Diceros bicornis minor: one gene and its partners. The protein of the gene in region 4 purifies or fractionates together with the protein of the main gene of each other region. This does not show direct contact. Links are inferred from orthologs where the notes say so. Each region holds a gene or a part of one and is shown on either strand. Other genes may lie near its edges. The genes, in order: USP12, NHERF2, NHERF1 and PHLPP2.

Region 1 (6,953 bases), on a different chromosome or scaffold from region 4:
AACATTACTAATTTTCACACGTAAGCAGAACAACAGTGATCTAGAATAAGACATATCTGAAGAGATTTGCCTTGAACAGAGTTACTCAACCCAATAAAGATATCGCTGATTTGCCCACGTACCTTACGTTGACAAATGAAAAAAAATTATGTAAACTTGATTAATTCCAATTCATCATCCACGCTTTCACAGCTGCTGATTCTCTGAGAAGCATCACTCTATTTAGGCTCAGCCCTCTTCTCTCCTCTCCACTCCATCTCATCCATGCTTAACCAAACTCACTTCCCTCAGATAGCCAGGAGGAGAATGAAGAACTCTGGGAAACTCTGTTATTGTATGCAGTAGTTAGTGCTCCACCAAACCGCAGAAATAAACGATAGTCATTCCCCTTAATGCCTTCAGAATCCAATAAGGCGATAAGAGAAAAATTTACAACACAGTAAGTATGATTAAGAGCTACCAAAATTACAAAAATGCTGTGAAATTCTATGAGGGGGGTGGAAGATGGGGATGGACAGGGTGGGATTATTCAGGTCAGTCTCCCTGCTTGAGACAGAGGCATGAACTCGCCAGACAAGGGTGAGGGGGGCGCTCACAGCCTAGAAAAATAGCATCTACCAAGGCTTGGAGGTAAATATCTTTGCTTTTCTTGATTGTTAATTTTGTAATTCTCAGATGAGCTGCAGTTTTCTTGAAAGAAAAGACTGCACATTACTTTGAGATGTTTAGCATTATTTTGGGAGCACATTAGAATTTATTTGAATATGAATATAGACACACCCAATTTTAACACTACTTCTGGAACAATCTCATTTGGCCAGGCAGATATTTCTGTATTTGCCAACAATACACACACACCACATACAATTAACGCACCTGAGTGGAAGCCCAAGGAAGAGCTTTGGAGTCCGACACTCTCGAGATCAGAACCCCACTTACTCAGTGTCTGACTTAGCAAATCTCTCTGTGCCTCATTTTCCTAATCTGATCACAGCACATATTATATTTATTAATAAGTTTACTTGAATATTGTTTGTCTCCCTCAACTAGAATGTACACACCATGAAAGCAAGGGCTGTCCTGATCTCTGCTGTATCCTCAGCACAGGCTCTAGCACTCAGTAGGTGCTAAAAGTATACCTGACATACTGGAGTGGAAGACTGGTCAGTAAAGAACGACACATCACTCCTGAAACCCCAGACTCCCACAGTGAACTATGACCTGACAATCTGTGCAGCTCAGCAATCTGGCAAGATCAGCACTTTCAAAGACTTAATTATCACATTCCTTTTAAAACAGATTAATAATTGGCTTATCTAAAAATAATCCAAATGAACCTTGGCAATCTTTTTAATATAGTCCCTTTAATATCAATGCTTTCCTGAAATGCAAATTGTGAGAAAAAAAACAAACATCCATTTGGGAAAATGGAAGTCTTCAATGATCCATTCAATATGATTTAATACTGTAGATTTTAACCCCACCTGATTTCAGCCATTTTTTATACTGTCCCTCTGCGTGCAGTACAGAATTTGCTTCTAAACCATCTTTCCGATCTGATTCACCACTCCTTAAAGTATATAAAATGTATATATAGGTATATAAATGTATATATACGCATATAAAGATACATAAAATGTACCGCCCTTAAACCGAAGATTGCTTGGGGATCTCCTACATGCAATCGGGTGCATAAAAAGGGCTAGTAAGACATAAAACAGAAGGAAAGATTTCAGAAGTCTTTAATAGCATAATCACTAGGCCCACGTTGCAAAGGATAACTTTCTTCTGTGACGGCTCATAATTATGATCCCTAGACGTAAGCTCATTAAGGAGCTAACGAAACGAATTTGCCCCATCGTGTGGAAGACTGTGGTCCTTCCGGCCAAGCACAAAAACACCAAGATTGAAACGCACGCACGTTTTGCTTAAATCGGAACTTTTCGACAGGCATTAGCACTTTTCCCTTAAAGTCTATTTAAAAGCCCCAATAAAACACACACAATAACCCTCGCAGTCAGTTCCTGCACAGAAATACTTTAAGCCACACAGAGATGTGGCTGGGGTATTAAAGTAAACAAACGACAGGAAAGCTTAAGCTGTTTTACAAGATTAACGTGGATTCCCAAAGACAAGACTGCCACCTGGACACATGGCTGGAAAAGGGAGAGCTCGTTCCTCTGAGAAAGAGTAGAAGATGGGAAAAATTTCAACAGCACTTATTTAAAGTTTCCACCTTCACACACACCCCCTTCCCCTCAGCAGCGGGTGGGGGACTCGGCCTCGCCAGAGGCGCGGGGAGAAAATGTGCACTTGACTTCCGTCCTCTCCTGGGCAGGAACGAGACCCTGCCTCCGGCCGGCAGCCCCCATCCCGGCCCAGGGACCCCTCCCGCCTGGCGCACCGCCGGACGGAAATGGACAGCGCGCCGCCCGCGTCCTTCCCCCTCCGACCCCAGCCCGGGCCGCGCTCCAGCCCCCGGGCGCCGCGCCTCTCCGCTCGGCCGGGGGCGCTGGCCCCGTGCCCGCCCCCGCCACGTCCAGCACGGCCACCCCCTCGCTAGTCACCCTCGCGCCGCGCCGGCTCGCCTACGCCTGGCCCCTTCCCGGGGCCGCTCATCCCCCGCGCTCCCCGCCCGCCCGCCGCCGTCCAACCGCCCCCGCCCGCCTCGCCGCCCCCCGCCCGGGCCGCGGGGCCCCGCGCTAGGCCCCGCGGGCGGCCCGGCGGACGGGCGGAGACCCGGGCTGCGCCGCCGGGCCGGCCGGCCGCCCGCCCGCGGGGGTCCCGGCCGTCCCCGGCCGCCCTCCCGACGCACCTACCATGGTACAGATGGAGGCGAATTTGGAGACTGTCATTAGGATTTCCATCCGCCCAGCGCCATCTTCCACCCAATCACAGCGGCGGCAGCGGGCGGGGGAGGAGGGGAGCCGGGCCGCCCGCTCGCACCGCAGCCCGCGGGCGGACCCCGAGCCGCCGCGGACCCGCGCACCGAGCCTGCTCTGCCGCCGCTGCCGTCGTCACCCCCGGCGCTCCGGCACTCCCCGCCCCGGGCCCCAGCCCCCGCCTGCCGGCCGCCCGCCCCTGGCTCCTCCCCGGCGCAGGGCGCAGCCGCTGCCTCGGGGCCCGCGCCTGCCCGCGAAGCCGCCCGCCGCACACTCCGCCCAGCGCGCTGGGGAGCGGGCTCCGCCGGGGCCCTAATGCCCGGCCTGCCCGGCAGCGGCGCGGCCCCGCGGCGCGCCCCGCCCACCGGCCGCGCGGCCCCGCGGCCCCGCCCACCCCTGCGCACGCCGCCCCGGCCCTGGAGCGCGCGAGCCGGGAAACTCCGGCGCCCGCCCCACTCCGAGCTCGAGCGGGGCGGGGGCTCGGCGGGCGCCGCCTCCTGCCCGCGTCCCTCGCGGTCCTAGAGCCCGTGGGCCGACTCAGCCCTGGCTGCGAGAGGGGCCCCGGGGGAGGCTCCAGTCGCTGCAGGGTAGGCGGCAGCCGTCTGGTTCAATGCTGGAAGGGACTGACCCGCAGCCTCTGCCGAAGGCGCGGGGACAGCTAGTCCCCACTTCGAAACGAAAACGGAGACCATGGTCTGGATAATTCTGGGAGCGGTGGAAAGAAACCTGCTTCTATATGGTTAAAATAGGTTAAAATAACCCGGGTAATGCAATGTCCCAAACACTTAAAATGTAAAGTGGTTTCTGTTTACATATGTTGGGTGAATCACCTGGGTCAAAACACCATAACGGCGAAAGTCAAATTAATAGAATAAAAATGAAAGAGATAAGAAACTATGTATGTTTAGCTCTTTGAATTAAGAAGAAAGGTAAGTAATGGAGCAGAGGGACGAAGCTGCCTTCCCGCCTGCCTTTTGGCCATAAATTTAGAAAATGTTTATAAATAGAGTATCTAAGTATATTTGTTCTTAAAGTTGAGTTGCAAAATAGGGAAGATTTGCACTCAGCAGTGACGATGATATTACCAGAGACAAGAAGTCTCGCAAGTGAGAAAAACGTACTGTGAGAAAGTCTTAACCCAGTGTTAGCTAGTGGGATAGCCCCTCTTTTCGAGGTTTGTAAAATTCTTCATTGCACCCTGCTCTTTGTGTCAGGCAGCTTAGCTTGATTTCTTCCTGTTTGAGAAAGTCGTTCAAGCTAGTAGAATAACTTTATAAATTATTATGTTAGAAAGCTTGTGGTATTTCTCAATTGGTGAACTGTAATGATGGGGTGCTTTTTGGAGTTCCACCATTTCAGTGGGGCTGAGGGCCTGAATTCAGACAAAGCTCCAAAATCAGATATGCCTTACCTCACAGATTCAAAGCATTCAAAAAACAAAACACAGCATTCAAATAAAATTTAGGTGAAAAATAGATTTCTGGTACATGAATGCTGTTTCCATAGTGATTTCCATTATAAGCTTGCTTGGGGAAAAAAATTGCAAATAGAATATAGCCAAGTCCCAGAGCAGCTGTCCTGGTTCTCCAGGCACCTGCCTCCACGGAAGCTGGGGCCCTCCCTCTTTGCCCTGATACCCAAGCGGGTGGCTAGGACCATGTGCTTCACTGCCACACATTCAGCTGTATGGAGTGCTTGCCTCCCTGTTGCCCTCCCTAGACTTAGAAGTATCACCCACCTGAGTTCTTTCTTGCTGTGTTCCATCCTGCTTAGATCTCCAGAGCCTGCCTGGGCCCCATACCAGTGTCACCACGGCCCTGGATCCTATCTGTCTCACCTACTTGGATAAATGTCTGTTGTCATCCTGTCCTCCCCACTTGCTATTCTGTTCCAGCAAACAGGTCTAATGTGCCAGAATTTGAGCCCTGCCTCCGTCTATGCTGCCCACCAACATGCCTCCTTGTCTGTGAATCCTAAAAAGTCACAGGAACAGAGGCCACCAGCTTCACACATAAGTTTATAGAAGAATGAGTCCTATTTAAAATGGATTTCTAATAGAATTATCTGGAATTGTGTCTAGTTGGTGTTATAGCTGTCTAACTTTGCAGGTGAGATCCTAATTGCAGAACCTCACAATGCCTCGTGTCCTGAGCCTAAGGTTGACTGAAGAGGCATGAGCGTAAGAGAGATTCCTCTGTGTGCTGGGCACTGTACTGGGGGTTTTACCATATGTAATGCAGTTGAAGATAAGGTTTGGCTGCAACACCACATTTTGCACCCAGAGCTGGGAATAGGTCATCTGGGCTTAGAACACAGCTTTTACCTGCAACTGTATCAGTTTTACAAAGAACTTCATTGTGCCTAGGGAAAGATGGGTTTGTGTACAACTGACTTCTTTTGGGCCTTCCTGAGTGGGTAAACTACAAAATATACTCAGATAACTTCATGGACTGAGGAAGTAAACAAACTGGGGCCAAGCTTAATCCATTCGGTCAGCCTACTGTTTTAAAATTGATTCATTTGAATACTTTTACACAATCCTGTACTGTCCAGTTCCTCGCAGGCCGCTTCATGTTTTCTGTTACTCATCCTGTCTCCCGTTAACCACACGTCACTTCTTGTGTTTCTGCCACCTCTCTTCTCCCTGAAGGAATTCGGTTTTGTACCAGCTAACAGAAATGACTGAAATGCCTGTGTTGTGGGGGTTGGGGGGAGTGTGGGGCGGGGGCGTAAGACATCCATAATGACAGGTAGTGCTTATTGAGGACTTGTCTGTGCACCAAGCATTTTATGAAGTCCTCATAACAACCCAGTGACGTATTTCCCCATTTTCTAGGTGAGAAAAGGCACAGAGATAACTTACCCAAGGTTGCACAACTAGTAAGCGATGGAACCAGGATTTGAACCTAGCTCCAGAGGCCACACTTGCATCCACTCTGCTATACCAGCTCGTGTTCAAGTACCTCATTTTGATTCTAGTGGGATGAGGTTGAGAGGCACTGACTCCTTAGGGACCCACATGCAGATTTTAGCTATAAAATATACTCAAATAGTATTTCTTTGTCTCAGTTTCCTCATCTGGAAAATAAAGGTAATGATTATGTCTACCTCAGAGGGGTGTAACGAGGATAAAACATGGAGGTGTGTTTAGAATAGTGCCCATCACTCAACACAAACTGGAGAGCTCTGAATGGCCAAAGTCAACAGTTTTAAAGTCAGAGTGGGCAAACACAGCCCTCAGGCTGTCAGTTTATGCCCTCAGATTGAATGAGCCTCTGCTGTGTGCCAGGCACCTAATTAGTACTTCAGATGCGTTCTCTAATGTAACCTTCCAGTGCCCCTGGAGCTCCATCATCCATGCTCATTTTACCACTTTCACCATGACGCTGCTCAGCCTGTGCAGAGCACGGTCCACACTCACACACTCTGACTGTGAAACTCATGATCTCTCCCCTTCTTTCCCCTGCCCTTTGACAGCTGAATGAACCAACCTTCTTGGTGGCTTTAATTAACATCATCCAGCTGTCCAGAGGTAGATGTTAATCAACACAGTGATGTTCTTCTGTTGGTTTGAATCAACAGACCAGTGATTGACTTTTCAAGGCTGACTTCCCGTTCAGAGGATAGTCGAGTCATCTGCACAATGGATGTATGACTTTGATTTGCTGGGGAGGATGGTGTATAGCTAATATATCTAAAACTTTGTCATTATTTAAATCTAGGTTTAAAAGAGAAGGACCAAAGGCATAGCCATATTATACTCTGTTTAAAACTGAAATCTGAGTTCGTTCATTAAAACAAGTATCTGTTGATCACCTACTGATGAATAAGAAAAATCTTTGCCCTCAGGGAGCACACAGTCCATTGGGGTAGACAGATGATTTTTATGGAAAATGAGCTGATAAAATGAAGGACCAACTGCTGTCAGCTCTAAGTGGGGTGGGACTAGCTCTACCTGCAGGGGGGACAAGCTGAGGGCAGCTTCACCAACTGGAAGAATAGGATGAACAGTGATGGGGGAGGGGAAGGCAGTGGTCTCTGGGGCAGAGGGAAAGTCACGCACAGACACTG
Region 2 (7,765 bases), on a different chromosome or scaffold from region 4:
GCCTGCACGTGCCCAGTCTGGCTTTGGTTCCCAGGGATCGTGGGCAGGCGGAAGCCCTCGGTGGGCCATCTCCTCGGTGCAGGTCAGCTGTCGCCGGCGGAGCTCCTCGTCCGTCTCCTTGTCTACCACCAGCAGCCGAGTCTGCCCCTCCACAGCCTTGATCCTCTGTACCACCTGGGACAGGCAGGTGGCAGGAGCAGGTCAGCGGCCAACACTCCAGACAGCACATGGACAGTGGCACCACCCAGGGCTCGCCTGGGCTTGCAGGCAGGCGGCTGGCCTACCAGGGGTGGGCGGCTGGACCGAGAGGCCCGCCGGCTCCACCCCCCACCCCCGGGCTCCAGCCGCTCCCTCCCTCCTCTCCCAGAGCTCCTGACACTGGGGCCCAGGATGCCAGGGCTGCAGGGTCGTCGCCTCAGCCCAGGGTCTTCTCCAGGAGAGACCAGGAAGCTGGGGGAGGCAGTGGTCTGGAAGTGACAAAGATGGTGCACGGCCAAGCTTCAGGTTTTCAGTGTGCGTGTGTGGGTGTGTGCGCGCGCGTCTGTGTGCAGGCGTACATCCATCTGTTTCAGGGTCTCTCTTGGTCTGGGTTGGAGGGAGAGAACTCTCTCCCTGGGTCCCAGTCTGAGTGTCTGTGCCCAATTCTGTCCTTCTCAGTGGTGGAGCAAGGAAGTCTAAACCCCTGCCTCTAGGCCTTCCACAAGGCACCTCCGTGGGCACCGACACACAACTCAGTAAGCAGGATTCAGACCCAGCAGGTGAGGCAGGGAGGGGCAGGTCCACCTGTAGGACGAGTGTGGCATTATGGACATCTGTGTGTCTCTGCAGGTGCATGTGGGTGCCATGGAGCATGCATGCCAGTGCGTGCCCTGCAGGAGAAGGGGCAGTGCCCACTGGGCTTTGGGGTAGGAAGGGCAACACCCCCACCCCAAGGCCTGGAGGACGGCAGACGGGACCCCCATCAGCTACTTGGCAGAAGTTGTCAACAGATAGGAGGGTCTAGACCAGGCCCACCTTCCCCCCACCCCCTGCCCCTCCTGTCCTTCCTCTCTCCCTGTGACCCACAGAGCCACAGGAGGACCCCAGCACCCTGCTGCATCCTGACTGTGGGACCCAGACAAGTCACCCACTATCTCCAAGCATCAGTTTCCTCATCTGCAAAATGGGAGCCGTAACTGCATCTCCTCCTTCCTGGGGCAGTGAGAGCGACCCACGTGGTCCTGTGTGTGAAGTTCCTGGAGACCAGCACCCAGAAGCCTGGGATAAGCAGGCGCTCTTGGGGCAAGGGTGACAGTGACTGCTACGCAGAGGCCAGGCACCAGCTCTGCCAGCCCCTCCCCGCGGCCTGTCAGGCCAAATCCTCTGGCCCTGACCCCTATCCTCCTTCAGCAAACAGCTTCATCCAGTTGACACTCTGGCTGGAAGACAGAAGGACCGCAAAAACAAATGGATAGACAAGGGCCCCAAGGGTAGAGTGGGAGCTCAGCTCCAGGCCCAGTGAAGAACCAGAGAAGAACTCATCTCTAGGCCCCAGGGCTGGCCACACAGGCGGGTCAGAAACTCATAGTGCTGGGGGGACACAGAGGACCCTGGAGCAGAAGGGGGGAGGGAGGCTGGACCCAAGCCAGGTGAGCCCCTGGCCAGTGGAGATGGACCCCCCTCCAGGGGTCAGAACCTGCAGAGAGGAGACCCTGCCCTCCCTCTGGCCTTCATCTCCAGCTGCAGGGGGCAGGGTCTGTGGCCAGTGACCCCTGCAGGGCCAGCAGCCTCCACAGAGAGGAATGTGCTGCCAGCAGTAGCGACTCCTACTGGGACCCAGACACCATCAGCCAGGACACACACTAGGGCACTGGCCTGCCAACATACACTGATGACTACACACAGCCGGGCCGGCAGACACACACACACACAGCCCAGCTCACACACACATCCAGGCATGCAGCTCTATCCACACTCACACATCCAGGCATGCAGACCTGTATATTGATACATACAGTCCAACACATACACAGAGCCCAGCTCTCACACACGTCCAGGCATGCAGATCTATCCACACACATCTAGGGGTGAAGACCTGTCTATTCACCCACACAGTCCAGCACACACATACACATACACACTCACTGATACACGCACACACAGGTGTGCCCTTACTGTGACACCTCCCAGGTACACACAGATAAATGTATGCACATCTGGGTGATCCCCAGAGGGACCTGCACACTCACACACATTGTCTGTGTACACACGCGCATGTCTACACACTCAAAGAAAAGCACCCAGGGTACCCACTTGCATGGAAACCCCCCTAAGGTAACCGACACCTCCACACATGGCACAGGGAGTCCAAAACAAGACTAAACTAGGGCCAAGGACCCAAGAGCCGCAGTGCGGGCCCCTCCCTGCCAGGATCTCCCCCCGCTCTCCGCGGTGCAGGGCTGAGCTTCCTGGGGGGGGAGGCTAGGAAGGAGGCCGGCGGCCGCTGCCTCCGTGGCCACGTCCCCCACCTCCCCGGGGGAGCTCACGCAGGCCCTTGTGCAACCCCCTCCCGGCCCCGGGCAGGGAGCCGAGGCCTGGAAGCAGGCGGCGCCGAGCCCGGTGGTCCTCAGCGCCCCCTGCGCGCGCGGGGCAGGGACGCGCTCCCCGGGGAGGGCCCGGCGGGCGGGGCGCGGGCACCCACCTGGTGGTGCGTCTCGCCCTCCACGTTGACGCCGTTGACCTCAACCAGGCGGTCTCCGGCGCGCAGCGCGGCCGCCTCGGCCGGGGAGCCGGGCTCCACGCGCCGGATGAACTGCCCGCGGCGGCCCTTCTCGCCGTGCAGGTGGAAGCCGTAGCCGTGCTCGCCGCGCACCAGGCAGCACAGGCGCGGCCGCAGCGGCTCCGGCGCGGCCATGGCGCCGGCTGCCCACCCGCCGGCCCCGAGCTGGCCACGGCGCTCACGCCCGCCGCCGGCAGGCAGGGGCGCGGGGACGGCGCGGAGGCGGCAGCGGCGGCGGCGCTGGAAACCCGGCGGCGGCCTCGGCGGCTCCCGCTCGGCTCCCGACGCCTCGGGCTCCGGCTCGGGCTCAGGCTGCGGCACCGCCCCCGCGCCCGCCCCTTCCCCGCCCCCTCCGCCCGGCCGCCCCCTCTGCCCCGGGCCCAAGCAGTCGTGGCCTTGCCCCTGCCTTGGCGTCCCGCTAGCCCGGGGGAGCCCGCAGGAAGTAGGGGACTGCAGGGCCAGGGGACCCCGAATCACCGGGACCCGCTGGTCTCGCCCCCACTCTGGGCAGCCTCCTTGGCGCCAGCGCCTTTGCCTCCTATTCCAGGAACTTTTATTGAGCACCTACGGTATGCGTGGCACCAGCACGGAGGCGGGCTCTTGAGGTGGGGGAGGGGGTGGAGAAAGTGTCCTCAGGCCGAGGGACCCTACACAGTGGCCAGAGGGTAAGAACAAAGGCAACAGCTCTGCTCACCTTCCTGGGAAGCCCCCTCACCACCACCACCCCCACCCCAGCTGTCTGTGTATCTGGATCCTTCCTGCGCCCGGAGCTGCCCTGGCCGGGACCAGAGTCCAGGACACTCCAGGAGGCAAAAGAGGGATTTGAAAGTGATATGGCAGCAGCCCTCCCCTATAACCTGGAGGCCAGTGACTGGGTGACTCCCCTACCCCCTTCAGGAGTGTTTGTGCCTATCTGTGCTGCATACATCCATTAAACATTCCCCCTACCATCCCCTCACTTTGCCAGGGCCCCTCGCTCGTGCCCCTGCCCATCCCAGGCCTGGTCTGTGACTACAAGGAGTGCAGGGAGGAAATGCAGTTGTCTGGCTGGGATGAGAGAGTCTTTGCTACCCTCCTCCTGACCTGGGATGAAATGTGCTGAGGAGTTCGGTGTCTGAGCTCTCAGACCCCTTCAGATCTCCCTTCCTCCACCCCAGCCCTCCCCTCCCTCTCTCCTCCCCTTCCCCTACAGCAGCCCCCACTCCCACCCCACAGCATGAGTGCCCTCTTCCCCCAATTGGACAATAATAATCACAATGCAGAATCACTTATGCTTCCTTGCGCCTGAGTGCATTTTACCTGGAACAACCATACGGGACTCAGGCCATTTTACAGATCAGGAGACTGAGATCTGGAAAGGGAAGAGACCCAGGCAAAGTTCCCCAGCTTCTCCTGGGCCCAGGGCTGTAAGATTCCAAATCCACACTCTTCACCATGGAGTTCATTCTCAGCCTCAGATACAGGAAGACAGCTGAGCTGCATGCTCACCCTCAGCCTGCCCCTCCCCAGCCCTGCCCTGCCCTACCCTGTACATACCTGGTCACCCTCACCCTGCCCCTCCCCAGCCCTGGCCCCCCACCCCCTGCACATACCTGGTCCCCGGGGGGGCAGGCACAGCCAGCCCAGACAGCTCCCCATGAGGGCAGAAGCAAGAGTCGGCTCAGGCCCCGTCCTTGCATCTCCTTCTCCCCTCTCCATGCCCTCAGCCTGGGCTCCCAGCCCCCGCCAAGCACAGGGCCCGCCTCTGGGCAGCTTCCTGGGCCACAGCCCCTTGGGTGTCCACACCCCAGCTGCTGCCCCTAAAAGCCACTTAGGCCGAAGCTGCACGGCTGCTCCCCCACCCCCAACTCCGAGTTCCTGGCTGATGCTGCCATAGGCCCCCACCTGGCTGGCCACCTCCATCTGTCTGTTTGCCTGTCCAGAGGCTGCCTGTCTGGCCTGTGGCTGGCCTCCCTGGACCCAACTTGGTGCTGCTGCCCCTGGAGACTGTGAGGATGGGTGCGGGCAGTGCGGTCCCAGCATATACCACAGCAGGTGGGGCTTAGGGGTCACCCCATAGCAACCAGGACCACCCAGAATGTGCCATGCTGTAGCTTCAGGGCCACACTGGAGTTGAGGGATGGGAGACCCCCAGGCTGGGGGGTCGAGAAGGTAGGGGCCCCTGGTCCCCTGGTCCCCTGGGTCAGAAGGCTTGGAGACCTCCTCCCCGCTCCGTAGGACAGATGCTCCTCATCAGCCTTGGGCCCTCACCACCTTCTGCAGCCCGGGACTCAGCCTGTGGGTGAAGATGGATGGGAACAGAACACCACTGGAGGGAGGGATAGCCAGGGGCATGTGGTCACAGGGGCCAGGAACACTGCATCCCAGAATAACAAAGGAGGCCCTAAAGCAGAAAAGGAGCTGAGGAAGTAGCAGGGAAGGTAACAGAGTAACAAAGGCAACATTAGAGTGACAAGGGGGCGTAACAAAGGAAGTGGATGACAGCAACAGAGTAAATAAGGGCAGCCAGGGAAGAGCTGCAGGTCACAGTTCCCAAGGGCGGACAGGAATGAGAGGGAGGGAATGGGGTCAGTATGGAGGGCCTGGGATAACAGAGGTGAAGAAAGGGGGCCCAGTAGCTCTCCTGGGCACACTCCCCCAGGCCTCTTCCTCTGGCCTTGGCCTCGGGCGTGGGGCGCTGTGATGGAGGCGAGAGGCACAGAGAAAGGGGCAAAGGCAGCAAAGCAGAGGGACAGAGGGCAAAGGCCCAGAGTGTGGGCTGAAAGGTGTTGGGGGCTGTAAGTTGCTCAGGGTCGCTGGGGAATGTGCTAGGGAGCTAGCTGATCAGTGAGGCCAGCAGCGGGCAGGAGGAGGTCGGGTCGGAAGTGGTCAGAGGTCTGGGGGATCCCCACCCTTGGCGCCCTCATCCCTGTCCTGCCACCTTGCTGCGCAAGCCTTGGGACAGAGGGATAGTGGATCTTTCGTTGCTTCCCTCCCCGGGGTTGTCGGACGGCTCACCCCGGGAGGGCTCACCCCAGGGAGGGCTTGCCCCCGTGATCCTGTTGCGGGGAGGGGGAGTTTCCTCTGACCTTTGAACCTACCTCCCTGCTGCGACGCCCCCAGGGGTGGGGCGGAGCCTGCGCCTAGGCGGGGACTCTGGGATGTGGCGGTGGGCAGAAGCCTGGTCACAGCCAGAGGAAGGACTGGGGGCCGTCTCGGGGATGGAGCCATTAGCCTGACGCCCGGGTAATGGCCCAGAGCTTCCCAGGCCGGCACCTCCTCCCTAATGGGCATTAATGGCTCCACGGGATGACCAGTCCTCACTTATGGCCTCCTCCCTCAGACTACACCAGGCCTCTCTTCAGAGCCCGAAATCGGAGCAGGCGGGACCACAGCGACGGGAAGAGATAACAAGATACCTAGAGACGAGGTGGGGAGGGGAGGGGAGGGGACGGAGGAGGGGGAGAGAGAGAGAATGCAAAGACCAGAGTGGCCCCGCCCTTGACCCGCCCCTAGCCCGCCCATCGCCGGAGGCGCGGAGCGGTGACTGTAGCCCGAAAGAGCAGCTGCGCAGCGCCACCTCCCGGCTCTGGGTGGGATGGCATCGTCCGAGGGGCTGCCCTAGGCCCCGCCCCTATGGCTCCGACTCGGTCCAGCCCTGCCTCGCCGGGTGGCGATTGCGGCGAGGCTGACGCCCTAGAGCTGCTTGCACTGCAGGGGCGTAGGGGTGCCGCGGAGGCGTAGGCAGAGAAGCCGGGCCTCTGCCGAGCCCCTAATTGGCTCTGCTCCTTCACCTTGGACCTGGCACTAACCTATCTGGACCAGGGTTCCTCCAGGCAACATGAAACCTAGCCCCTCACCAAGTGTCCCGGCACTTGTGACCAAACATTTGAGGACCACTTCGTGCCAAGCGCTGGAGAGCACCGGGGAAACATCGCTGAGACCCCTGGAAACAGGGATCTGTGTACCTTGGCCAGGGGAGGCCCAGGGCTGGGGCAGCCCAAGGAGAGGCATTGAAACTGGCCTGGGGCCCTGGAGTCCTCCTTCAGGGTGGACCAGGGAGCTGTTCTGGAATCTGCCCAGAGTTTCCTGCAGGCTGTGTGGGGAAAGGGAGGGAGCAATGAGACTGGGGGACAGGGCCCCCTGTCCCTGTGGCCTTGCCCCAGAGCATAGATTTCATCCCATCAGTGGTGGGAAGCCCTTGAGGTGCATTGGGAGTAACAAGCTCAGGACACCCATGTTTTGAAAGACTGAGTTTGGCAAGGAGCAGGGGTGGGAGTGGGCTCGGGGAGAGGAGAATGAGGGGTTTGTGACCACCTGTTCCCCCAGTGCAGATCCTGGGGGCAAAAAACTGAGTGGGATCAGGGTAAATAAATTCAGGGGTCCATAGAATCAAAATGAGTCCCCACATTAGAGGACCACATGGGGAGAAGGATGCACCCAGGAGAGCAGAAGAAATTGCCAGTGAGGAGAAGTGGGGGCTTCCAGAGGCCAACGGGGGGGTGTGGGGGCTGGTTCCACATGGGCCTCCCAAAGCCAGCTGGCTAGACAGACATGGGACCACACCTCCTCCATCCCTTGCTGGGTGCCCCAAGGGGAGACCTTGCCACATGGCCAAGGAGGGCTCCAAGGGTAGACAGCATCAGGGCACAGTGACTAGGCGCTTCAAGGTCCAGGACAGTTGTGGGAGTCAGAGCCCACACTGAAGAGGGCTGAGGAGAGACCAGGAGGGTGGTGGGGCCCAGACATTTGTGAGGGGGGAGCTGGAAGGGGGCCCAGGTGGAGGGAGGTCCTTGTTATTCAAGATGGCAGAGTACGTTTACATGGGGGCTGGAGCCAATAACTGGAAATGCAGAGGGGGGAAGAGGTGGAGGACCCTTCCTCCCTAGGAGGAGAGCATGTCTGTGAAGAAGGGGGCCAAGGGGTTCCCACTTCCTCTTTGGACACCTTTGGCTGAGGGGAGGGAAGGGTTCCAAGGAGATCCAGGTTTAAAATGAATGCTGGGAGATGGGGGAAAGGCTAGGTAGG
Region 3 (7,425 bases), on a different chromosome or scaffold from region 4:
ATGTGTGCAGAGCTGGCAGTGCCCCTCCACATCCTCCCAGACCAGTACTACAGGTACCCTCACCCTCTGCCCTTATCATTCTCCACTGGGCTGTTCTTCCCAATGATATGTCACCGCCACCCATTCTCTGCATGCACTTTTCCACTTAACATCTTTTTCACTTATGAGAACTAATGAAGATACCATAACAGCCTCTACTTTGCATACAAATTCAGGCTAAAACTAACTAGTAAAACTCAAATGCTTTATACAAGAGATGTCTTTTAGGAAAAAAAAAATAACTCTTAGGATGTTTATTAACATTTTTTTGCAGTGATGGAGTGGGTCACCTGCATGACCACCATACCAGATTTAACTGGAATATCCTACTAGAGGGTCTTAACAGTGCTGATAGGCTTTGTATAAGGCCAAAGGAGTCCTTGCACAGAGCTGGGATTCCAGTGCTTGGGCATAAAGGAACTCAATTCAGCATCCACCAGGGGCTCGAGTACTTCTCATACTTGTAAAATTCTAGAGAAAGCAGGTACCACTGTAATCCAATGCTCCCATTTTACAGATGGAAGAACCAAGGCTCAGAGAAGTTCTGTGACTTGCTTGTTGACCATAAACCCAAGAGGCCTGGTGATGGTGTTCCCGGGACTGGCTGGAGGCGGTTCTGCTCCCTTCTCCTGGCCTAGCAAAGTACACACGAATGCAGGTGTCACACCACCATCTGGGGGGATCTGATTTTGTGCTCCAGGGGTGGAAGCACTGCTGCCTTTTCAAATGGTGTGGCGGGAGCTTGTGCGCTAGGTCAAACCTCCAGTCTGGCCTCTCCCCTAGCACCCCTCCCCACACACCCAGCAGCAAAACCAAAAGGGCAATGGGAGGAGTTGAACATAACTGCGACTTAGGGGGGGTGCGTTACTTGTGCGAGTGCCAAAGTCCAAATGAAAAAAAACAAACAGGGAATGGCAAATTGATGCACTCAGCACAAAGCTCAAACTGGACTTCTGCCTGGGACGAGAGGTCATAGGTTCTAACTCCCTGGTGTCAAACCCCTGCCAGGGGTGCTCCGACCCCTCCCCCATCCTTGCCAATGCCAGCCTGGCAGCGGCAGGAAGTGGGAGCCGGGCAGCCCTGTCATTGCCGGCACCCATCTCTGGCTGGACAAGGCTCCTGGTGACCTCACTTCACCAAACCAATTGGTCCTCTCAGGCTCCACCTTCTACCTTAAGGTTGAACTGTGCCCTTTCTCTGTCCAGGGAGGCTCCTGCTGGCACTAAGGACACCCCTGCCACATGCTGCCACCAGGTGGAGAGCTGGTGCAAGCCAAACCCGCCTGGGGAGGCCTCCCCCCTCCACTCTCTGGGAACAGGAGGCTCAGCACAGCTCCTGTTTGCCACTGCCCCTCGGGCAGCTGATCCAAACTGGGATCGTTTGTGCAAACACCAAACATGGGCAAAAAGCAACCAGCCTGCTTGCCGTCCAGGGACTGGAGTGAGACAGATGATGCCAGGACAGGACCACCTGCCCATGGTGAGCCCCGCTGGCCGCTGGAGGGTAGAGTACCACGGGACCACTCCCACCTCTCCCTCTCCCCAGCCATTTCTTTTCCTCCAAGGTCCTCCCTCCGCTCCCAGATACAAGGTAGCGCTTACTCCTCACATTCCTGAGAATCATAAATCCTCCTGGGTGGTGGAGCCGCCACCACTCCAAGGCCTCTGCACCTCTTCTCCGCACCCCAGCCCCCAACACGCTGCCCTGAGACGGTGGGGCTTCCTCTTCTTTCCTAGAAGTCACCCGACCGACTTCAGGAGGAGGATGAAGTCCAGCCGGCCTGAAGTTAATGATATACACACCAGCGGGCTGGGGGGAAGGGAGAACCCTGTCTGCGATCCCTCCCCTCCCAGCGCCGGGGCTCCGCACAGAAAAGGCGGTTGTTATTCCTCTAGCTCTTTGAAGTCGGAGCCGCGCTCGCTTCACTCCAGCTTCCGTTACCACCCACAGGGGCCGTGGAGGAAGCTGGCACCTCTGGGGCGGTGAGGGCGAGATTGCGTGGTTCCGAGGAACGGGAGCAGACCCCACCAACAGAACCCAGAAAAGGGGACCGGGCTCCCTCACCTCCCTACCAAAGACCAAGGGTCAAGAGGTGTAGGTGGTAAAGGCGCTCAGGGTCCCAGCCCTGTCTGGGAAGGGGAGTGGGGGTCGCGGGACGCAGCCCCAAGCCTGCAACCGCCAGTGCGCCCAGTCGGCGGGCGGAAGCAGTCCCTCCCTCGAGGATCGGGTTTCAGAAAGACAAGGCGGGAGCAGGGTTGGGAGTCCCGGGCGCCTGGGTCTCTCCCCGATCCCCCCTCCAACTTCGTTCCAGCCTCGCCGCTCGGCCCGGGCCCGCACTTACCCGCTCCGGCGGGCTCTTCTCGGCCTCGCGCGGCGCCTCCGCGGCGGCCGGCGGCTCAGCCTGCCCGGGCCCTTCCTGGGCGCGCAGCAGCTCCTCCCGGACCTGGACGCCCAGCTGCTGCAGCCGTTCGTCCGTCTCAGGGTCGACCACCAGCAGGCGCACGGCATTGAGCGCGGCGCGGATACGGCTCACCACCTGCTGGTGGGTCTCCTTCTCCACGTTCTCGCCGTTTACCTCCACCAGCCGGTCTCCGGCCAGGAGCCCCGCCTTCTCGGCCGGCGAGCCGGGCTCCACCAGCCGGATGAACTGGCCCATCTTGCCCTTCTCCCCGTGCAGGTGGAAGCCGTAGCCGTTCGGACCCTTCTCCAGGCAGCAGAGCCGGGGCAGGGGCGGCCCGGCCGCCGCGTCCGCGCTCATCTCGCCGTGGGACGACTCAGCAGCGCGCCGCGGGGTCGGGTCGGGGTCCGGAGATGGGACGGTCCAGCCCTTCTCCCCGCCCTGCGGACCAGGGGGCGGGAGAGAGCGCGGCAGAGAATTCCCGCACCGCCGGACAGGCCGAGCGAGCAGGTGTCCCAAGAGAGGCTGCCACGAGCAGCAAGGAGCCAAGCCAGGAGCGCGCGGACCAATCCCCGCCCCGCGCGGCGTCTGAGCGTTCTAGAACCCGCCCAGGTCCCTTACCCCGGAGGCGGGGCCGCGCTGAGGGTGTGGGCCACCGCGGGCCAATCAGAGACCAAGAACAGGGGGCGCTCGGGCCGGGTGAAGGACGCCGGCCAATGGGAACGCGCAGGGGCGGGGCCGTGCGCTCGGCGCGGTGCCCCGCGGCGGGAGAAGAAAGAGGGCTCAGGAAGTGGAAGTGTTTGTTTCCAAGTGGCCGGAGTTGAGGCGGGGGGCGGGGCGAGTTCCCGGTACCGGGCGGAGGGGCCCGCAGGCTCTGTTCTGGTTTCCCCCACCTGTGGCGGGGATTGAGGAGAGCCAACCCTCGAGTAAAGGACGCTAACGTTTTAACAGCCTTTAGCCAAAACCTTGTGTGCAGCTCCAATTGAGGGGGGGAGGGGGCGACTGTTGCCGGGGAAACCGCTCCCGCTCCGGGGCTGCGAGGTCCCAGCGGTGTGAGGAGTAAGACGGAGGTCCACTTCGGACCCAGCAGAGTTGTCTGAATAACGATATTTTCCCATTTGCGGAGTCACTTTGCACTGTCCCAGGACCTGCTTATAGGAGTGCGGGCTCTGATCCTGGTTGGGACAGTGCGAGGGTCTCAGCAGAGAGCCCAGGCTTTGCGCGGCTGCCCACCGAAAAAGGCCACCTAGGTAGGGCAATGGCGTGGGCATTGGCGTCAGCGTTCGGCTAGGGAGGTGGGGTGGAGAGAGGCAGAACAGAGTCAGGTAATCATCTCTGGGTATAGTCTCCAGGGCAAGGAGACCTGGCTTTTTTCAATAGAGAAAGAATGATTAGGACCGTAAGATAAACCTTTCAGTTCCTTCTTGCAGATGAGAGGCTGGTCACAGAGGCTGAGGGGTGGTCTGTAAAGGATGAGGTGACCAGTTGGGGACATTGAAGGATGAGGATCAAGTGATTTTGGCTGTCAATGACAGTTCCCCCAGCATGCAATAACAATCCTTTCAACATGACTCCCGCCCCATGGGCACCTCAAAGAAGCAGGGGACAGTGTGTACTTTCCAAAATACTGCAGTTTAATTCTGGAAAACACAAATGCTGGAGGCCCAGTACAGCCTACATGATTGGATCGCCTGTGACCTGCCTTGGGCCCCAGAAGAGCCGGCAAGGTCAGGCTCCTCCCTGCTCTGCTCGGGAGAGCTTCCTTATCTGGCCCAAGTTGGAGCTGCTGACTCTGCTCAGAGAGCAAGATTTCTGCCGTGGAAGCAAGTGCAGTAGCCTCAGAAATGTGCAGTGCATGCCTCTTTCTATCCCTCTCCCCCGCCCCTGACTTGGAGAGCTGGAGCAAAGGTGTCTCTCCCCACCCATGGCCCAGAGAGCTGGAGTAAGGTGCTTTAGGTCATGACCTTCATGTACCCTGGCCCTTCTGATTGCTGGGGTAAGGGCTTTGGGAGAGTTGTGACCTTCGCTCCCGTAACTCCTTGCCGCCCCTTCCCTACCCCAGTCTTACCCACATGACCTTATTTTGCACACATTGCATTGGTTTACCAGAATTGGATGACCTCTCACTCTCTAACCTGGCTTAGTAGAAAGGGAGATAGAGCAGTTTTGAGTCTGCGTCTGTCTGGGAAAAAATGGGCGTGGGTGTCAGGGAGGAGGCAGCGCTTGGGTTTAGGGGCATACATGTAGGGCAAGGTTTACTCAATTCTGCCTCCCACCTGCTCCAGGTGGTTTCTCTTTATCTGGTTTTTTCCCAGTAGAAGCACTACAGCTGCTTGAAGTAGCCTGGGGGCTGCATACCTGCTAAAGGGTTGGGACAGAAGAACCACCTTTCCCTAGCTGGGACCTTAGGTGTGTAGGGGCACAGCCAGAAAGGTAGATAAGACCAGGGATTCATGGAGGAGGGGCTTCCCTGGGATCTGAGGTCTGGGGAACAGGAACCAAATGTTTCCAGGTGCCCCAGTGTGCTTGTGGGCTGGAGGGAAAGGGTACACCTCCTGGAGGGGCGTTAGTAGGGCCAGAGGTAGCCAAACAGACCTAATCTCTGCTACTCCTCTCTCCCCCTCCCAGGGAGCAGAGTCCCTGCCCAATCTCCATATCTCCTATCTTCCCTGAGGTTTTGGTCTAGCTCCCAGCACAAGGGCCCTGTCTTAGTGGGGAAGATTGTTCCCTGGGAAGCTGGAGGACATGAAGCCTCTCTCCAGCTGAAGTGAGAGTGGGAAGGGGGTCACTGAAGTGCATCAGTGTCCCCTGGTGCTGAGCTGAGCAATACTGCCCTCATTGTGGCTAGGAGGTAGGCCCCGACCCCTCAGTCCTAGCACTAGAAGGCAAAAGGGCCACCAGGTCCTTACCTGGGCTTTCTGGTGCCTTTTTTTGTATTAAATTGTGTATCATTAAAATGAAATATAAATATTTTACCCTCCCTGGAGATGCAGGGAAGTCCAGGAAGTAGGTAGTACAGCTCCCTCTTGGGAAGGAAGGCCTGTGCACTGGGTCCCCCAGTTCTCTCCCCACTGGCTTAGCTGCTCAGAGTAAGCCAGGTCTGGGGGAGAAGGCTGCATCCTCGTGGGCCTCTGGAGCCTCCTCTCAGCCCCTTGGGAGTCACAAGAAGGAGCAGCAGCCAGGCCGCTTCTTCTGGGACTCCACATAGTCTCGGATCTGGAAGCTGGGTTCATCGGCCTGCTGCCTGGCTCTGTGTTTCAGCTCCCTGGAAGAAGAAGAAACAACGGGCTGGGTACGGACTGAGGAGCTGAGCATCCTCCCCACTCCTATGGCCCGGGGCAAATGGACCTCAGACTGCAGAAGGCAGTTGGGCCCAGGGGCTGGCGGGGGAGGGGGGCCAGGCCATACTGGATTCCCAGATGGTGCCACCCTGCCCCGCACGGTTCCCTTCCCTGCTCAGCTCTCACTTGGCAATGGCCAGAAAGGCTAACTCCACATTCATGCCTGTCTTGGCACTGGTCTCCATGAAGGGAACTCCATACTCCTGCCAGAGAGAGAGTGTCTTCAGGGCTAGCCTGTGGCTGCCCCCACCCCTCACCCTGCCCACAGGCAGTCACTTACCCTGGCCAGCGTCTCTCCGTCCTCCGAACGGATCACTCGTTCATTGTTCACATCCGCCTGTCAAGCCCAGGTGGGTCACTCTGGGGAAGGAAGCCTTGACCCCAGCTGGCCCTGCCCCTGCCTGGCCTATTCTTTGCCCCAGGAGCAGGCACTACCCGCCCTCTGCTGGTGGCCTGCAGGACTGCAGGTGGCACGATGGGCATGGGGCCAGGGTTTCTGGGTTGGTCAGGCTGAGTTACCAGCTCCCAGCCCTGGGATCTCACTCCTCCTGGGGGAGGTGGGTAACTCTCCTTGGTACGGGTGTGGTGAGCCAGCCTCAAAGGGGTGGCAGTAGTTGGGGCTAACCCTTTCCAGTCTTAGCTCCTCATCCGTGACCCTCATCACGACCATCTAATAAGGGCTGAGCAGCTGGGCAACCGTGGGTCTCTCAGGTACTAGCTTGAGCTTTCCCTGCAGGGGACCGTTTCCAAAGCTTTAAGAGGGCAGGTGACATGGGCTGAAGCTGCCAAATAGGTCTGACTCCTGAACTAGAGACTGAAAGAGTCCTTTGCTGGAAGAATGTCCAGCTAACACTCTTGGGTGGCTATGGGGCTGGTAGAGCTAATGCTGTGGCAGTGGGAGAGGAGAGGGGTGGGCTGACCCTGCCGTGGAGCCACTCACCTTGTTGCCTAGCAGCATGATCACCACATCCCTCTGGGCATACTCATGGATCTCAGTGAGCCAGGCCTGTGGGAGAGGGTGGGCTGAGCCAGGCTGAGGCTGAGCACCAGCCATTCTCCCCTTCCCTCTGGCCCTTCCTTCTTCTATTTGATTATCCTGCTCACTGACCCCAAACACGATGCCCTGTGCATTGTCTCATCTGCATCTTTGTTCTGGCCTCTCCAGTCCTGAGTGGCCCCAAACCCCATGTGTTGCAAGTCTCAGTTCTATGGAAGATAGAGGTAGCAGAGGCTTTACCTCATAAATCAGTTGGTAGTCACCAACAATTTCCTGGAGTGCCCTGTTGAGGATTGTAAGGCCACATACGGGCTCAGTGATCAAAAATACTGTGATTGATTAGCGATGTCTGCCATGAGCATGGAGTTGGAGGTGGCAGTATGAGTGCCATGGATTTCTATCCAATTTATAAGCTGTTTTATATCTACATGTCTTGTTCCTCCAATTTGTCAACTCTTTGAGGTCAGGGAACATATGGAACCTTTACAGTACTGTGCTCAGAGTCAATGCTTGTATTTGTTGAATTATTATCTCTACTCTCTAATAGTTTGGTTGTGAGGACAGAGCCACTCACTCTGCCTGCCTGAGTCACTTTCTTACAACTTGGGCTGGATGTCTGGATAGACTTTTCTGCTTGGACTCTCCCCTTG
Region 4 (7,359 bases):
CCCACATACAATTAACTCTAAGACACGGATGGTAAAACGGTCTGGTAAAGTAACTCATCATACTCACTGAGTTCTAGTAGAATGTGAAATAACCTCAAGTAGGAGATATGTTGCTGCATTCAAAACTTTAAAACAATATGGGCTCATCTCTAGGAATATACATGTTAAGGAATATTCTGGAAGGGGTGAGATAAGGACAGGAAGAATACTTCAGTTCATTAAAATGTTTTTGGTATTAGTTGATTTTTAAAAACCAAATACACACATTATTTTGATAAAAACTTGAAACTATTATTGAAGAAACAGATTTCATAACATTCACTGACTAGATTAGTTGTAACTTCATTTCTTCTACAAACTGAGTAAAAAAATAATAATAATCCCAAAATTGGAGGGAACATCTGAAAAATTTATGCTTCAAAGATACTCCCAATAATCTTAAGAGTACTCAAAACATCATACTTATATTCCAACTACAACTATAAAGGGATACATTCTAAATAACAATTTGCTAAATAAATCTAGGAGCAGATTTTGAATCAAATTTTCCAATACCCCATACAGATGAACCTACATCTAATCTGTCTAAACTATACTGGCTTAGATATATTAGCCTTTTTATGAAGATCATGTTATTTGATAACAATGATATTCATGATTTGGTATTAAGTATAAAAGAGTTACAAAAAAGAATAAGCCTTTCAAAGGGTCTTCAGAGAAGAACATGTAGGAGATGATGACTTTCTTCCCAATTCAGAAAGTCTTCTACTTATATGTTTTCTAGTTTCACTTGGCACAAAATTCAACCACTCAGCTATTGAATGGAACTTCTGTATGTAGAACACACAGCACCTATTCTCCATAGCCAATCCCATTTATTTGTAAGAATTATTTAAAGTGTTGACCATACGCAATAAAGCAAGGGATGCAAAAGCTTTAGACACTGTCAGCTCCCACACCACCAGCTCAGTACTATAATCAAGATCAATTTCTCGAATCTTTCTAATGGTCCCCAGATTGGAACCCCAGGAAAAGAGTGATACGCTGGACCACTTCCTGGAAGTACAGGAAGGCAGGACCCTCAATAAAGATACTCATTTCTCAATTCCTTCCTTCTCACAACTCACTCCCTCCCCACCAAAAAAAAGGTGTTATTAAAAAAGCCTGTTAACCAAAGGGGACAGCCGGCTTAGTGGTTAAGTTCACACAGTCTGCTTCTGTGGCCCAGGGTTTGGATCCCAAGCGCAGACCTGCATACCGCTCATCAAGCCACACTGTGGTGGCATCCCACATACAAAACAGAGGAGGATGGGCACAGATGTTAGCTCAGGGCCAACCTTCCTCACCAAAAAGAAAACAGCCAAGGTTGTTTACATTCTAGGCTAGAGGGCATTACCTATGTCTTGGACCTGCCATTTCCTGATAAACTAGGCCAGCAGAACTTTTTTTTTTGGTACATTCACAATTTACATTTTTGTGACCTTACAGTTTTCAATAAATATCCAAAAGCCTTTGAGGAATTATATTTGCAACTTATGGTTAAATTAAAGTTACAATAAATATGTAGAAGCTGTACACAGAAATGGAGGTAAACTATGAAGCTACTTCTGTAAGTTATTTCTCTATAATCTCTATTAAGATTGGGAGGTAGTAGCATGAAAAGTGCTTTATATTTTACAGAGTTCTATTTTATGTTGTTTCATGAATTCGCCAGATGCTTCAAATCTATTATTTTTTTCAGTGTTCCCATCTTTGTGATGTCCTACAAATAATCTTAATAATACAGTGCTCACTCTCAATCCCAATTAACAACTATCACTTAATGTATTTTTAATATGTAGTTTCACTGTTTTGCAAAGTATTTTTGAAACACATCAAATCTTCTAAATTTTCTTTTCTCTCTTCCTTCTCCCTGGCAAGTGTAAATCCTGCCCATTCCTCTTCTAGAATTCTAGAAGAAATTTCATTCCATCTCCAGGGTACCTAGTTATATATCTGACCTACAGAAAAATTTCTCTCCAACTACGTATTTCAAGGCTAGTAGAAAACTCCATCCAGTTAGTCTCCCACAACTCCTCCTTTGAACCATCTTCACTGTCCCCTCGCCACCCTACATTCCTTGTGTATTTAAACTTCTCATCACCTTCAAGGCTCTACTCTCCCCCTTGCCTGCATCTGCTTTTATTTCCTCCTACTCCCCCCAATTCCTGCCAAAAAGCCCCGCGAGCTGCCTGTTGCATAACCGCTCCCCCATTACCGTCTCCCGGGATTGTTAGCCCCGCTCCCACAAGCAGGAATGCCCCTTTTTGTCCAACCCCTGCTCCTTTCTGCAACACGCCCAGCGACTCCCCAGGATGAAGCTCCTCCGGGGACTCGCTCTCCAGGCGGGCGCCTCGGAGCAGGCAGCCGTGTCTTAACTTGGGTGGTAAGCCCGGGGGCACAGTCGGCCAGCTCCGCCGGCGCAGCCCCGAGCACACCGCGGCTCCCGGCCAATCACCGCCGCCATCCTCCCTCTGGGGTGATGTCTTCAGGTGTCCGGGGAGAAAGCCCTGCGTACTTCCAGCCCCTCTCTCGGGCCAGGAGCGACCGGCCCCGGTCCCCGAGCGCGGCCGAGAGCGGCAGAGGTGGGCCCCCCGGTCCCGAAGGAGCCGAGTGGGCGGCGGCGGCCGGGCGGACGCCGGACCCAAGGCGTGGGCCTGGGCGGCGGGTGGCGCGCGGCCAGGGATGGGCAGCGGTGGGGACAGAGGCGGCCGAGGCCTCGGCGGGAGCCAGGCGTGGAGACCCGGGCGGGGGCCGCGGCGCCCCCACGGGGCTGCGGGGCGGCTGAGCCGCCAAGCGGACTGACTGACGCGGGTCGGGGGTCGCCGGCTGCCTCGGCCACCGCGCGGGGCAGAGGCGGCCGCTCCCGCCCTCGCTCCCTCCCCAGCCCTCCCGCCCTCCTCACCTTCAGGACCCGGATCCCGCCCGCCCGGCGGCTCGCGGGCGCTTCGGGCGGCTCCGCGGGCTCGAGCGGGCCCGCGGGCCCCAGCTCCACCTCCCCCATCGGCGGCGGCGGCTGCACACGGACGCCGGGCCGGCGCGACAGCGCGCAGAGCCTCGGCGGCGCGCGCGATCAGCCCTAGGCCCCGCCCCCCGCTGCCCGAAGCCCCGCCCCTGTTCCCGCCCCTCTCGCGGCCCAGCCGGACCTGCGTAGTTGCTCGCCTAGCGGGGCTTCGGCGCCCGACGCGGAGCTGCGTCCATGGCGGGCGGGCTGCCGCGGACCCCGCGGGCGAAGCCGGCGCCACCACAGAGCTGGGTCTCCGCTGCTGACTGCCCTCGGTTTGGAGGACTGAGGCGCAGGGAGGGTTATTTACTGCTATCCCCGCCTCCTAAGTACCCGCTGGACAAGGGGCAGGGGGTGTCTGCACCTGTCAATAGTGATAGGACACTGCCCTCCGCAGAGGGTAACTCTTGTAACTTACCTCTCCAAGACGTTTCCTCTCTTGCTACTTCAAAACTGGCTTGTCACCCTCACTGGCAAAGCCATGGAATGGATTGTTGAGAATACTCACCTTTGCAAGGCCCTTTGTCTTCCTTATTAGAGTTGCTCAGACCTTCTTCAGCAAATTCACACCAACCTCGTGTACAAAATGTCAACTCACCTCCCAGCCAAATTTTAATTCCCTTCTCTCCTCATATAGTAAAATTATCAGAATTCGATTCTCTGTCTCAAGCAGTAATATGGTCTGTGAGCCATTTTATTATTTGCAAGACTAATTCAGAAAATCTTTAAAAGTTCATTTATTATTTTCTTTTAGTTTCCGTATTAATGGTAGTTTTGTGGCTGGCCAGTGGGCCAAATTTGGAGTTAGAAAACCAGATTCCAAATCCCAGCTCTACCTCTTATTAGATCTATACCCTTGTGCAAGTTATTTGATCTAAGCCTTTGGTTTTTAAGCTGTGAAATAGAAATTAATATCTGCCTAGTGGTTATTGGGAAGATTTTGTGAATGCATACAAAATGCTTAGCAAGTTATAGGGATTCATAGTAGCCACTGTAATCTGAATTTCCGAATTTAAGATTCACTCAATTCCTGGTTGGGTACTCTCCTTGTTAATTCTGCTCTAAATTTTCCTAGGAAACTTTCCAGACTTCCGGATTTTTAGGTCTTCCCCCCATTACACAGGTGTTGATGAATCTTTAAGCAACTTGTTCAGCACACATTAAGGAATTAAGCAGCAAAACCCCCATAATTTCTTGAGCTTTGAATAATTGGTAAAGATGGTATCACCTATTAGCCATTGTTTCAGCTTGCCTAGTCCAAACTAAATGTTTAGAATGGTTTAGTTGTAAGCTTAGTACAAGAGAGTTTGAGATCTAACTGTGCCCCTCTCCTATGAGATATGTATGCATTTGGAGATATTTTAAATTCCAAGACAAAATTTGACTCTTGCAAAGATTCTGACCCCGTACAAATTATTTCTTCTGTAAAAGTTTGGTCACTATTTTCTCCCTTTATGTGAGTTACTTTGTATATATCAAAATTCCAATTGCCGGTAATCTTTGTCTCATTTTAATGAATTAAAAATGGTTTGTCTCTGTGAGTCTGGTGTAAGGTGAAAAAAGCTCTTAGATTGTCTACCTCCTGGGTTTTCTTTCTACCTTGAAATTACTTTCAAGAAAGCTACTCAAAGTAGTTGGATTCCCATTTCAGTGCTTAATGGGTAACTTCTTCCAGCAAGAACACTGGTGTGTAAGGGATAGGCACCAACATGGAGACAAAAGTGGACTTGACTAAGGGTGGACAGGCAGTGGAAAGAATAAAAATGTGGTTCAGAATTAGTGTTCCTAAAAGTCTTTCTTTTTTTTTTTTTTTTTGGGAGGAATATCTGCCCTGAGCTAACATCTGCCAATCCTCCTCTTTTTGCTGAGGAAGACTGGCCCTGGGCTAACACCCATGCCCATCTTCCTCCACTTTATATGGGACGCCGCCACAGCATGGCTTGAGGAGCCGTGCGTCGGTGCGCACCCGGGATCCGAACCAGGGAGCTCCAGGCCGCCACAGCAGAGCGCGCACACTTAACCACTAGCGCCACTGGGCCGGCCCCGGAAAGTCTGTTTCTTGAGGTATCACACATTATCTTTTCCAGATCTCATGAGCAGAAGCTCTTTACTAATTGATCACGTGAAAGGGAAGGATTTCGTTCCAGGACTAGCATTTGAGTTCATGCTGGGGAAGAGCAGTGGTAGATGACTGGTTTGTTCTTTTAATTAATGGGATAGTGGACTAAAGCATCAATTCAGAATACAAGCATATGCTAAAAGTTATGTATTTACTACTTCTTGTTTTTTTAATTAATGGGATAGTGGGCTAAAGCATCAATTCAGAATACAAGCATATGCTAAAAGTTATGTATTTACTACTTGAACAACAGTAGTACCTCTTTCAAAAAGAAAAAAAACAAGCTACCACCCAGATATTACAGGGGATAACTTATGATGCAGCTCTCTTTAAAGGTCTCCATGGTTTAAGATCCAATTCAGTTAAGTAGGGACAACCAGTTGATTCTTTTCTTTTCAAATCATGTACTGTCATTAACATTTTATACTGTTTCAAAGGTCACATATTCATGTTCTCCCCCAGTTCAAGGCAGTGTGTATTATGTATGCCAAGGGTTATGTAACTACAATTTCTGGAAATGGTAAACAGCTGAGACTAACCCTAAAAATAAATTCCTCTGGGATTTTTTGTGCACAAATCCATCTGCCCTCACTGCAGGTTCATCATTACAAAAATCACTGTTTGGACCAAGCTAAGAGACAGAGAAGTCATTAGACTCCCTCCTCTCTCTATCCTTCCTATAAGCAGCTGTGCGTACCTTCTCCACGTAGCAGGAGGAGGGACACACACACCTTTATCCCAGGAGCTTTTCCTAATCCTCACTACAAAATGGAAAGAAGGTCTAGAGAAGAAAAGTTCATGTCTATCAGATTTGGTAGAGGAGCTATAAGAGCTTACTACATTCACTTATTTGTATCTAGTTCCCACTCGTTTGATGATCGCAACGTGATCTTTAGGTGTAAATCCCTTGTTGTTCTACCACAGGTTAGGCAGACTTAGACATTCCTTATTTTAGTTCCAAATAAACAGGCAGTATTTACCCGGCTTCAAGGTTTGAAGGAATTTTTTCCTTGGACATTTTTATATTTTTTGAAAATGGAGACAATTGAGCTACGGGAGGAAATAGCATGGAAAACCTTTAAAGGGGACAAAGATTAATTTGGTCCTTCTGGATTGAATTTCAAATTTGAACACTACTTCTTGTACTGTTAAGTAAATGTCTGGAGTCTATTACTTGCTCAACTTTTCTATTGTAGCTTTTATATTTTCATCTAATTACATGTAGATGAAGTTGTCAACTAAATTTAATATTAGGCACAAAGATGAATTTTAACTAAGCCACATATAAGGAAAGATTACAGAAATGTCACTTATCAAACAGTGCCAAAGGGCACTTCTGCATAAACTAGATAATTGCCAAGGCCTGCATCCTTCTCCTTCTCACTTAGGGGACTGTCACACTCTCCCTTTTCTCAATCAAGGGACTGCCAGAGATCACCTGAGTAATAGAAAACCAGCAGCTTCCAACTTCCAACCACTCTCACTTCTATAGAAGAATTCATATAAAACAGATCATGAAATATAATTCATTTTAACAGGTCAAGGCTTCCTCTTCCCAGTCACAGATATATTGGAACAATTCACAAAAAGAAGCTTATAACCAAACCCATGACCACCCCTAATACATGTGTCACCTTGATATGACTTCTTTGCCTTGTGCGAGAATTCACCTAAGTGGAAAAGATAAGCATGGAAATAATCATATAGTTAAAATTTCCAATGGTACTTTTCACTGCCTGTAACTACAAGTTTTTTTAAGTTGTTCAAATCCCTTTCTTGGTGAGATTTCTGTGTAAACGGAACATTAACAGGTCAATAAGTTTAGCTCAAAGCTCTGGAATAAGAATTCATCCAAGGCTTCTCTAATCCACTTGTAAGAAGCGAGGAAGCAAATGTGAAATCATTGAGTATTGACTTTTTATTATTAGTCACTGTTCATAATTTGTTTCAACCAAAAGACAATACACACAGCAGAATTCTAATGCATCCCATGTAAATGTTTACATCCATTTTATTCCTCACTCGCCTCTAAGACTTATCATTTTAAATTTTTTTTACATCTCAAAAATATGTCTGCAATAATTAGAACTTCATTAGCTGTCCCACTTGGAACAGCCTTTTAATATTTTTACAGTAAAGAAGATGTGATGGGGCTTAATGAAAATGTAACTTACAACATTATGAAAGAAAAGGGACT

Evidence for each region.
Region 1: the proteins of PHLPP2 (region 4) and USP12 purify together in Homo sapiens (affinity purification with mass spectrometry; 3 studies listed by BioGRID and IntAct, with this or other methods). This does not show direct contact. The link is inferred for Diceros bicornis minor from reciprocal best matches to the Homo sapiens genes PHLPP2 and USP12.
Region 2: the proteins of PHLPP2 (region 4) and NHERF2 purify together in Homo sapiens (affinity purification with mass spectrometry; 3 studies listed by BioGRID and IntAct, with this or other methods). This does not show direct contact. The link is inferred for Diceros bicornis minor from reciprocal best matches to the Homo sapiens genes PHLPP2 and NHERF2.
Region 3: the proteins of PHLPP2 (region 4) and NHERF1 purify together in Homo sapiens (co-immunoprecipitation; 3 studies listed by BioGRID and IntAct, with this or other methods). This does not show direct contact. The link is inferred for Diceros bicornis minor from reciprocal best matches to the Homo sapiens genes PHLPP2 and NHERF1.

What each region holds. Positions count from the first base shown.
Region 1 is NC_080748.1:10,498,869-10,505,821, forward strand, and holds the start of USP12 (ubiquitin carboxyl-terminal hydrolase 12), read right to left. Parts: upstream 3,014-6,953; 5' UTR 2,868-3,013; coding exon 2,820-2,867; intron 1-2,819. UniProt on the Homo sapiens protein: Deubiquitinating enzyme that plays various roles in the regulation of the immune response and inflammation.
Region 2 is NC_080765.1:46,385,786-46,393,550, forward strand, and holds the start of NHERF2 (Na(+)/H(+) exchange regulatory cofactor NHE-RF2), read right to left. Parts: upstream 3,003-7,765; 5' UTR 2,894-3,002; coding exon 2,681-2,893; intron 175-2,680; coding exon 1-174.
Region 3 is NC_080757.1:55,334,979-55,342,403, reverse strand, and holds the start of NHERF1 (Na(+)/H(+) exchange regulatory cofactor NHE-RF1), read right to left. Parts: upstream 3,014-7,425; 5' UTR 2,798-3,013; coding exon 2,381-2,797; intron 1-2,380. Other genes in the region: RAB37 (ras-related protein Rab-37), read right to left, coding at 5,597-5,702, 5,905-5,981, 6,059-6,115, 6,719-6,784. UniProt on the Homo sapiens protein: Scaffold protein that connects plasma membrane proteins with members of the ezrin/moesin/radixin family and thereby helps to link them to the actin cytoskeleton and to regulate their surface expression. Necessary for recycling of internalized ADRB2.
Region 4 is NC_080771.1:23,615,659-23,623,017, reverse strand, and holds the start of PHLPP2 (PH domain leucine-rich repeat-containing protein phosphatase 2), read right to left. Parts: upstream 3,008-7,359; 5' UTR 2,945-3,007; intron 971-2,944; exon of another isoform or gene 68-970; intron 1-67. UniProt on the Homo sapiens protein: Protein phosphatase involved in regulation of Akt and PKC signaling.